Arabidopsis thaliana: one gene and its partner. The protein of the gene in region 1 interacts with the protein of each later gene in a pairwise test. Each region holds a gene or a part of one and is shown on either strand. Other genes may lie near its edges.

Region 1 (5,632 bases):
AGAAAAATAAGAAAACAAGTACGTATACTTAACGCTAATAAATAGCAACCGACTTTTGAATTATTTGATTTAACTCTTTAAATTATTTCTTAGAAAGAGTTATGGAAGAATTAAAAGTTTTAAAAACATTTGATGCTAATCTAGTTTTTCTTTGGTGACTTTTTTTCAACCAATTTGAGATGTTTTAAATGGGGATCTGACAAGTAACTATTGTACCAGGAATACGCACCATTTCCTTTTTTTGTGCTTATAAATACATATTTATTTATTTTATTTATATAATAATTTGAAAACTTAGAAATTACACTAATTTATTAATTCTTTACTTACAAACAATTGGTTTTAGTTTTTAAAATTATCCAAGGCTGATTTCACCTAATTAAAATAACCATGACTAGATTTTAACCCGCGGACAACTTATTTTTTAAATTAGTATATATAAAAGTTTGCAAATTAAATCTATTTATTTTTATTTTATAGTTTACAATTGTTATTAAATAACGTCTTACCAAACCCGTCTCGCCAAATCCGCCCCGTAAAAAAAAACCGCGGTACACCGCTAATTTAAATATATAATTAAAAGAAATATTTTACGGGATTGCAATTGTATTTTGGTTTGTCAAACAAATATTTGTTTAAAATAGTTGCCAAAATCTAGTTCAAATTTTGGAGAAAAAAGATTTATTGGATAGATAAAGAATATATTTAGGTGGGTTTTGCTCATTTTAAGGGATTGCAATTATATTTTTGTTTGTCAAACATTTTTTGTTTTAAATAGTTGCTGAATATATTTGGAATATTTTTAGTTTATTAATCAATTTATTGCTGGAAAAAAATCAATAATTAATACTCAATGGCAGCCTAGTAAATAAGTCCCAACTCTAAGATTTATTTCACAAAATGGCTGCAAAAATGTATATATAGATGATTCATTATTTCATTTTATGCGGTAGGAGTAAAAACAACATTAACTAGCAAAAACTATAATACACACACAACAGTAACTACTCATCGAGTATGGCATTCATGGATACGAATCAAATCTCAAATCGTATAAGCCTGGCCATTATTTTATTTTACAATATTTGATAATGTGCTACCTAAATATCAAAATTTTAGAATATTCTGAAATAAAATGTCGAATTTTTGTGATAGCCTTAAATTACTACATGCTCACGTATGTAAATTTTCTATTCTTTCATAGTTAATTTTCTATTAAAATGTACAATTTCCAGTTTGATGGTATGAAGATCAACAAAGTACCATAAAAATGTATAATTTCTATTTCTTCCTAATTAATATTCTTTAAAGTGTAATTTTCCAGTTCATCCTTGTTAATTTTCTTAAATAATAAAATGTAAAACTTACAAATTTCACGGACTTTATTAACAGAAATGTAAATAATTGTAAATAAATGTAAACATACTGTGTCACAAGAAGACATGACAAAAAATAAAAACAGTAGAAATAAACTTTTTTCTGGGTGCGTGTGGTAAAACAAACATGGGGACTGATCCAATGAAGTTTATCGCAATTTCTGGAATTTCAGTCGGTGTATTAATCATCATCGCACTGATAGTGGCTTATGCCTGCTATCGTGCCCGAAAGGAAGGACCAGTCAGAGGCGACGGACGACTCACACCTATTGTAATGATGATATGATATATCACCTATTTTCGATCTTTTTCTAATAATTTATTTTATGATGCAACTTTTTAGATTACTATATACTATAGAAGAGCATATTGTAATTCTATTTTACCTATATAATAATAAATAATATTTCGGCGATTTTGTCATATGCTGGAGTGTTACATTAGATGATGACTAGTAGGGTTTTTTTTTTTATGTGAAAACAACAATCGTTGTGTCATATAACGCGAAGTGACAAACAAACAATTCGAAATATTAGCAATGTTACAAAATTCGAAATATACGCAATGTTATGGTGGTGTTGACCGAAGGGTAGTTTCGTAACTTTACATCATCGCGTGGTCGTATACGCGCCGATGAGATCACAGACGGCATTAATGGGCTCCGGAAGAAGAAACAAATGATTAATTTAAGGAATAAATTACCACTAAATTCGTTTGATTATTTCCGGAAAACAATTAACTAATAAAACTATAACTAACCTTTGTTTAATTTTTTGATTTCGCGTCTTCACTGTTGTGGATTTCTTCTGAATCTTCTGAGCTCGCTTCACCTACAAGAAGACAACAAGGATCATTTTCTCTAGGTTCGTAGATTCTCTTTCTTCTTCTTCTTCGTTTGGATCTGCTTAGTGAAGAAGATAATCTTCTGAAAAATTGTTTGTTTTTTTTCTGAAAATCTGAATACGTAATGATTTGAGCTGAATCTGAGTTAGATTCACATTTATATTCTGGATTTGTGCTATTTGATGATTTATTAGATCGATCATCTTGTTTTCTTCTTTCGCCTTTAAGTATGTTTGCTCATAGTGTTGCTCTTCCAGATTCCAGATCCTGAAGAAGGTGAAATCTTATCTGTGATCCAGTGGAAGATTGAATCAAGTAACAGATTCACTTAGTTCACTTGCGTATTGCATGCCCCTGAAGATAACATTTTGAATAATGTTGATATTGAATTATCACCTATAAGCTCTGGTTCTTGTTGCTTGTATTGGTTCTGGGTATCTACTAGTGAAGAAACCATGGCTTTTGGTTCTCCTAGGAATAATTCTATATTAGCTGCGGCTGGATTTCCTCGGAAAGTGTCTACAGTTGCAATTGCTATTGGTGGTTTGGCATCATTCTTTGTTTTCGGATTGTTGCTTCGTCTTTCGTATCCGAATAGTTCTTCAGTTGGTGGCATATTTTATGGGATAGGGAATCCTGAACAAGTTCATGTCCCTTTATCTTTGAGCAACCATACTGTCAATATCCTTCAGAAGAGTAGTGACATCAATGCGTTTGATAAAAATCTGACTTCTGATTCTAGCTCTGGCTTACCTGTTGTTGTTAGCAAAAGTATACCACCTCCAGATTTCAGTAGTGATAGGAAGTTGGAGACACCTTTGACACAAGAAAAAGAGGATTTGGTTTCTTCGGATATAACTGAAAAGACTGATGTTCAATCAGGTGAACGTGAAACCAATGTTTCCAAGGCTGAAGACACTCCAAGTGCATCATCTCCTCCAGATGATGTCTCTGAAACTGCTTCAGCAGAACCAGGTACTGTTGTTATCTTTTAAACGCTTATTTCCGTAGCTTTTGTCGTATTTGGAACATTTTGAGTTATGGTAGCTTAAATTTCAATAAACAAAGACTAAGCTAGTGTGGGAATGTTATAGAACATTTAGTTTTGCATTTCTATGGAAAGGCGTAAGTTTCTGAGAAGTTTTAAAGAAATTCAGCGGCTAAACTCTTAGCTATAGACCTACTGTAATTATTCTAGCCGAGGACTGAATATAGCAGATTAGAGTAAAAACTTGGTTAGGGAGCAGATAGTGAGTGCTGGGCTTGTAAGGTGGTCTCAGCATTTTGTTTTAGGGGTTAGAGTTTCTAGGCTTTGTGGGCATTTGGTTGAGAGTTCTACCTGTTTTGGTGAATTGGAATAAGAAGAGCAGTTTCATAGATCTGTTCTTGTCAGTTTCCCTTGCTTCTCATGATTCTAGCTGTTCGATGTTTTATATTTCTGTTATGAGTTTGTCGCTTACTCAAATCTTTGATTGCTTGTAGAGTGTGATTTGTATCAAGGTAGTTGGTTTTATGATCCTGGGGGACCTCTCTACACGAACAACTCTTGCCCTGTCCTGACGCAGATGCAGAATTGCCAGGGAAATGGAAGACCTGACAAGGGATATGAGAACTGGAGATGGAAACCGTCTCAGTGTGAGCTTCCTCGGTTTGATGCCAGAAAATTTCTTGAACTTATGAAAGGCAAGACACTGGCCTTTATAGGAGATTCAGTAGCTCGTAATCAGATGGAGTCCATGTTGTGCCTTCTTTGGCAGGCAAGTAATTCAATTTAATGGTGAAAACCGGTATAAGGGATCTATTGTGTTGCTTTATTCAGCTTCAGGAGATCGTATGTATTATATTAAAGTAGGTTTCTGTTTTCAGGTTGAAACACCAGTCAATCGTGGGAGCCGAAAGATGCAGAGATGGTATTTTAAGCAATCATCAGTAATGATTGCCCGTATTTGGTCATCTTGGCTTGTTCATCAGTTCAACGAAAAATTCGATTATGCTCCTGAAGGTGTCACAAAACTAAAGCTGGATCTTCCTGATGAGCGCATAATGGAAGCTATCCCGAAATTCGACGTGGTTGTCCTCTCATCAGGGCACTGGTTTGCAAAGCAGTCTGTCTACATATTGAAAGAAGAGATCGTGGGAGGCCAATTATGGTGGCCAGACAAATCAAAACCCATGAAAGTCAATAACGTGGATGCATTTGGAATATCAGTTGAAACAATCCTTAAGTCCATGGCTACACACCCGAACTACAGCGGTTTGACCATTGTGAGAACATTCTCACCTGATCATTACGAAGGTGGTGCTTGGAACACAGGTGGATCATGCACGGGGAAAGAAGAACCCATCCTTCCAGGGAAGCTAGTGAAAAACGGATTCACAGAGATAATGCATGAGAAGCAAGCGACAGGATATAACCAAGCCGTCGATAAAGTCGCGGAGAATTTGAAGCTAAAACTAAAGCTGATGGATATCACAGAGGCATTTGGATATCGCCATGATGGTCATCCTGGTCCATTCAGAAGTCCTGACCCTAACAAGATCACTAAACGGGGACCAGACGGACGGCCTCCACCTCAGGACTGCTTGCACTGGTGCATGCCAGGACCAGTCGATACATGGAACGAAATGGTCTTGGAGCTCATAAGGAGAGACAGGAAAAGCTCATCAACTTGACTTGGTTTGAAACTCAAAGGATGAGAGAGCATATTACACGACTTATACTATTAATCTGATTCTTGGTTACTGATAAACTCAAAGATAAACTCACTTGTAGATTTGTGCTAGGCACGGTGAGTTAGGATTAGAATTTGTTCCACTATACTTGTTGGTTCGTTTGTCCTGAGATTGAAATTTAAGATTTGGGAGTTATGAGTTCAAGTTTATTCATACTAGTCGAAATTTCATAAATTATATAAACTGGGGGGGGCGCATTTGCAAAATAGCTGAGTAATAATCGCCTATCTCACTGACTCACCCAAAGCCCGACCAAAAGCTTTTGATTCCTCAAGAGTGAAAATGGCGTCGTACACAGTCTCCTTTATCCCTTTGACGCTCTCTAATCCTCGGATCTTTGTTTCGAGACAGAATGGATCTCCCTCGTCTTCTTCTCGGATTCCTCTAACGTCTTCTCTGTTAGGTAAGAAGCTTCTGGCGACACAACCGTCGCATCGCTGCTTCGTCCCCAAGCTCCGGTGCTTGACCTCGGCCAGCACGGTCTTAAACGTCCCTATTGCGTTAGTTTTTTTATCTGACAGCTCTTTTACATCTTTATCATTTCTGGGTTTTTCCTTTCACCACGGATATTGAAGCTTAGGGTGTTAAGGTTGAATTTTTCAGGCAACCGGAGAATGGTTCTTCGGATAAGATCCCAAAGTGAGTCTCACTCCAAATTACGTATAGAATTTGTAATTGTA
Region 2 (4,816 bases), on another chromosome or scaffold:
TCTGGATTCAAATCGAACAATAAAAAAAAAAACTAACACGTAATAAAAGGATTCGATCAGAAATCAGAATTAAACACGACCAAACCGACGCAATCTTAGAGAGAAACTAGAAATTGAAACAGAGAGCTTAAATACCAAATTCTAGGAATCTAAGTCAGGATTGAGGAATTTTGTCAACAGATAAACGCGTACCTGATTTGATATTCAAGAGTCGAGTTTGAATGTGGAAAACGAACCAGCAGATTGGATTAAAGACTCGGGTCAAATCTGTGAACTCGAGCTTTTGAGATTCCCTTTTTTGGTTTCCCTCTCTATAACAATCTACGCCACAAGAAGAAGCGTAGAAGCAAGAGAGAGAAAGTTAGACCAAAAGCAAGGATGTCCAACTTTAGACCGTCTCTGTTAGTTAGGTTTATAAAACCATCCATCGTCGCAACAAAAATATCTGCACCTTAATGAGCCGCCTCCTTCTTTTGGGCCCTTTTGGGCCACTCCAATTTTATTCCTAGGCCCATTATATAATTTCCATGTAAAGAATAGAATTATTTAATGAGATTAGTTGAATTTAACAAAAGTTAATAGTGTCATGTAAAAACGACATGGATGAACAAAAATATCAACATTTTTCGCATAAATAATAAACTAAGAGCTTCTATATACAAAATTCAAGACATTTTTGGATTTGGTTTGACTTGGACTCGTTTGGCTCTGCTGTACAAATATACTCCAGCTAGTGCAGTCGCGGTACCTGTTTATTTAACAAGTGATTATATATTGCTTCAATAAAATGAACAAGTGTAACAAATCCTTTACTAATATATACTACTAGTAGTTGTTTACCTATAGAGTTAAGAGGTGAGACTGGAGTTTTGAAGAAAAGAATGGATGATGTAATAACCACCACACGCTTCACGCAGTTCCCTACAGAGTGTGTTACTGGAGACACCATCTCCAATATCATATACGATACCTACAACAACAACCCCAATTTTTATGTGTTGATTAGAAGCCTAACACTAACCGACTTTACAAAATTCAGTACAGTTTTTCTGAAACGGAGGAACTAGACGGACCAACCTGTTGGTAGCTATGCAAGCAAACACCAGCAAGTAGAGACATGATGCAAAACTCTTTTACCGACAAACCCTGGCTTGTCTGTCAAGCAACCACATACAAACACACATTAGTTCTTTCTCTTTTAGATCATCTAGCTATATCGGTTTATGCTTTTCCACTTACTGCTACTTGTAAATGCGAAGGAGTAACCTTGAACCCATCGATGAGGATTGCTAAAGGAACCAGTAAGATAAAGGAGATAATGGTTATTATAGAGAAAAGGTTGATGTTGTCCAAAGCGTCCTGTTTCAATATACAAACATTAATAGATTTCGATTACTAGTTTCTTTCTTGAGATCATAAGGATAACTTATATTCAAACTCTTTTACCTTTCCAACCATGAATTTTTTACTGAGGACATTGCGTGATTGATTCGTCACATTAGAAGCCATTGCACTGCAGAAACCAATCCTGGTTTATCCCAATACCATGAATTAATCAAATCAATTAAAACTTCATCAAAAGTTTATCAAGAATACTATTTTTTTTGTTCTTGTTCTTGTTGTTCATACCAATTGAAAGAAGCTTCTGTGAAAGATGCTAAAGAGACTCCAGCGACAATAGGTAACAACGAACAAACAATCCACAGACTCGGCCACTGGACATTAATCAAAATTTCAAAGATTATGTCTGAAAATATAACTCTCTTGTATAATCTAAGGTTATAGATTAAGTCTGAAACAGAGCGTATCTTTGTTTTGCTTACCTCACCGAGCAAGAGAACAGAAAGCAAGACGGTGAAGAAAGGCTCCATTGCTTTGATAGTGTGGGTGAAAGAGACATTTACTCTTCCTAAGCTCACATTTGTTAACAAGTTCCCTAACGTGTGAGCTACTGCTAGTTGTACGATCACCGTAAACTGGAGAGGATTACAATTGAATGAATCTCTCTGTTTTTAGGGTTTGACGGAATCAATATTTGATTTACCTGAGAAGGAGAAAATTTGGGGCGTGGATGGAGTTTAAGGAGCCACATTATAGCAATCATCAACGTTCCACACCCTAATTGAAATGCTGTTACAGTCGCTGGATATGGATAAACCCTAAGTACCTGGATCGATGAATGAACAAGTTTCATACTTGTATGAAGACTGATAATAGGTTCGAGTACTGCTTCTTGCATTGAAATGGACTGTTTAATTAAATGAAGCAAAGAAGGAACCTGTTTGTTGAAAATGTTGTAGTAGATATTGAGAAGGTACCAAACTCCAAACATGCCTCCTAGCTTCAACCCTTTAACCAAACTTCCAGATTCCAAATCTCCTCCTTCCACATTCTCCGGAACTGTAGCTGACTTGAGCTTGAAGCCATTAAATCTAAGGTTCGGTCTCCAAGGATAAGAGTTAGAAGATGAAAAAGCTCTGCTTCTTCTGCTCAACGCTGATTCAGGAGTAGACTTGGCAAGGAACAATGGAGATGGAAGTCTTGGATTTGGATTTAGAAATGTGAGAGCGAACATAATTTTTTCCTCTTATCAGATGCTCCAAGATGTGCATAAATCCTCCGGCATTTGTTGGAATTTCTCACAAGTAACCGACTCTTGCTAACTTTTTCTTCTTCCTCTATTGGTAAGAGTTATGTTACATGAGTCTACCTCCTCATTTTCATGTAAGAAGAAAAAAGTTTGTTTTGTTTTTGGATATACTGCAAACTTGATATTAGTATTATTTAGAAGAGTTGTCTTTATTATGTGACTTTTCTCTCGTTCTACTATCTGAATGTTTTTGAGTATGATAAAAATAACTCACATGCCGATGCCGACATTTTTTTCAATATAACATTGGCTCGATTTTATTTATCTTTCCTCATAAGAGCCAGTGGTATTTGCCGGTATTGTTTCTTCTCATGTTCTCCATTCCATGTGTGTTCTGTAAATAATGTTATGGAAATGATTTGACATACTTGGTCACTCATTTCTTTACAAAGGGGCCGTGGTTTTCTTCGTTTATAATAATATCAAAAAGTTGGTAACGCTATAAATAATTATTTAAAATAAAGTTTACGTACGAACATGACAAATTACTGACCACAACACCAATTGATTTTTAGTGTGGAATTTGAAAATGTCAGGGGAGAATTGTATGGATGATATGAAAGGGGCCGCGTTGAAACATGTGGATGTTGTATTGTATGCTCCTGAGTCCACCCTTTTCTTTCCGTGTTATTTCATACTATTACAAATAAGGTTGGTCCCATTGCTTTGATCACATTATTGATTATACCATTTACTTATTATGTCAGTGTTGGTACAGGTCATTGATCACAATTTGGGCTTTAAACGGAGAGGATGGAAACTGAATTCTAAATACATTTCGGCCCATTTAGGGTCCATAACCTTCTACGCCAATCAGAAGGTACGTCGACATGAGCAACTTGGTCAATTTTATGACATAAATAAAATAAAAATAAAAAAATAAAAATCGATCTGAGGGGTTTTAGAAAGAAAAGAAGAAATTCGGGAGTCGGAGAAATTGTCGGGTGGATCGATGAATACTTGTCAGTTTATGGATAAGCAGATAATGGATCTATCTTCTTCTTCATCTCTACCTTCCACTGATTTCATCGATCTGATGAACAATCATGACGGCGATGATCACCAGAAGAAGCAGGTGATCGGCGATAATGGATTGGACTCTAAGAAAGAAGTGATCGTTCCTAGCTATGATTTCCATCCCATACGTCCCACCACCGCCGCACGATTGTCTCACTCGGCTTTAGATCTCGCCGGATCCACGACTAGGGTTAATTGGTCCGCCTCTGATTATAAACCCGTTTCCACTACTTCGCCTAACACTGTACTTACTACTACTTCTCGAATCTTCCTCTCTTTTTTTTTTTTGTACATGATTCTACATCATAAGCCTATAAGAGGACTTGTCTATTTCTGATTGATTTGTTTTTTTTTATTCGGCCAGAATTTTGGATCTCTCGATTCTATTGAACCTTCCAAGTTGGTTCCTGACAAGGGTCAAAATGTGTTTAACACGACTATTATGTCCGAGATTATAGATAGGACAATGAAGAAACATACCGATACCTTGCTTCATGTAATGGAAGGTGTTAGTGCACGTCTTTCACAGCTGGAGACCAGAACCCACAACCTCGAGAACCTGGTGGATGATCTCAAAGTTTCTGTTGACAATAGTCACGGCAGCACTGATGGGAAAATGAGACAGCTTAAAAATATCCTTGTAGAGGTAACTTTGCTGATTGCTTTTCGAAACTAGAATTTATAGCTTTTCCTGGCAACTATTGATCTTTTTTATACAGAAATTTTCTCATTTATGAACATGTCTTTTCTTGAACCAGGCTTATAGTACTTTCTGTTGATACTTCAGTTCCTTCTTTATGCGAATGGTGTGCAGGTGCAGAGTGGTGTGCAACTATTGAAGGACAAACAAGAGATTCTCGAAGCTCAGCTTTCAAAGCATCAGGTATCCAACCAGCATGCCAAAACACACTCTTTACACGTTGATCCCACTGCTCAATCGCCCGCTCCAGTCCCTATGCAGCAGTTTCCTCTTACTTCTTTCCCACAGCCACCATCTTCCACTGCTGCTCCTTCCCAGCCACCTTCCTCGCAACTACCACCTCAGCTACCTACGCAGTTTTCTTCTCAACAAGAGCCGTATTGTCCTCCGCCTAGTCATCCTCAACCACCTCCATCAAACCCGCCTCCTTACCAAGCTCCTCAGACCCA

The links. Proteins that work in one complex are often made in the same cells at the same time.
Region 2: the proteins of TBL18 (region 1) and PPT2 interact in a protein complementation assay, tested with the Arabidopsis thaliana proteins (one large-scale study listed by BioGRID).

What each region holds. Positions count from the first base shown.
Region 1 is NC_003075.7:12,967,513-12,973,144, forward strand, and holds TBL18 (TRICHOME BIREFRINGENCE-LIKE 18), read left to right. Parts: upstream 1-2,046; 5' UTR 2,047-2,239; exon of another isoform or gene 2,240-2,476; 5' UTR 2,477-2,674; coding exon 2,675-3,194; intron 3,195-3,701; coding exon 3,702-3,976; intron 3,977-4,085; coding exon 4,086-4,892; 3' UTR 4,893-5,132; downstream 5,133-5,632. Other genes in the region: AT4G25370 (Double Clp-N motif protein), read left to right, coding at 5,235-5,452, 5,556-5,591. UniProt on the Arabidopsis thaliana protein: May act as a bridging protein that binds pectin and other cell wall polysaccharides. Probably involved in maintaining esterification of pectins. May be involved in the specific O-acetylation of cell wall polymers.
Region 2 is NC_003074.8:216,282-221,097, forward strand, and holds PPT2 (phosphoenolpyruvate (pep)/phosphate translocator 2), read right to left. Parts: upstream 2,856-4,816; 5' UTR 2,576-2,855; coding exon 2,279-2,575; intron 2,168-2,278; coding exon 2,045-2,167; intron 1,977-2,044; coding exon 1,824-1,976; intron 1,716-1,823; coding exon 1,630-1,715; intron 1,529-1,629; coding exon 1,447-1,528; intron 1,360-1,446; coding exon 1,240-1,359; intron 1,156-1,239; coding exon 1,078-1,155; intron 971-1,077; coding exon 841-970; intron 749-840; coding exon 666-748; 3' UTR 524-665; downstream 1-523. Other genes in the region: AT3G01560 (proline-rich receptor-like kinase, putative (DUF1421)), read left to right, coding at 3,603-3,911, 4,032-4,313, 4,482-4,816. UniProt on the Arabidopsis thaliana protein: Phosphoenolpyruvate/phosphate translocator that transports phosphoenolpyruvate (PEP), 2-phosphoglycerate and 3-phosphoglycerate.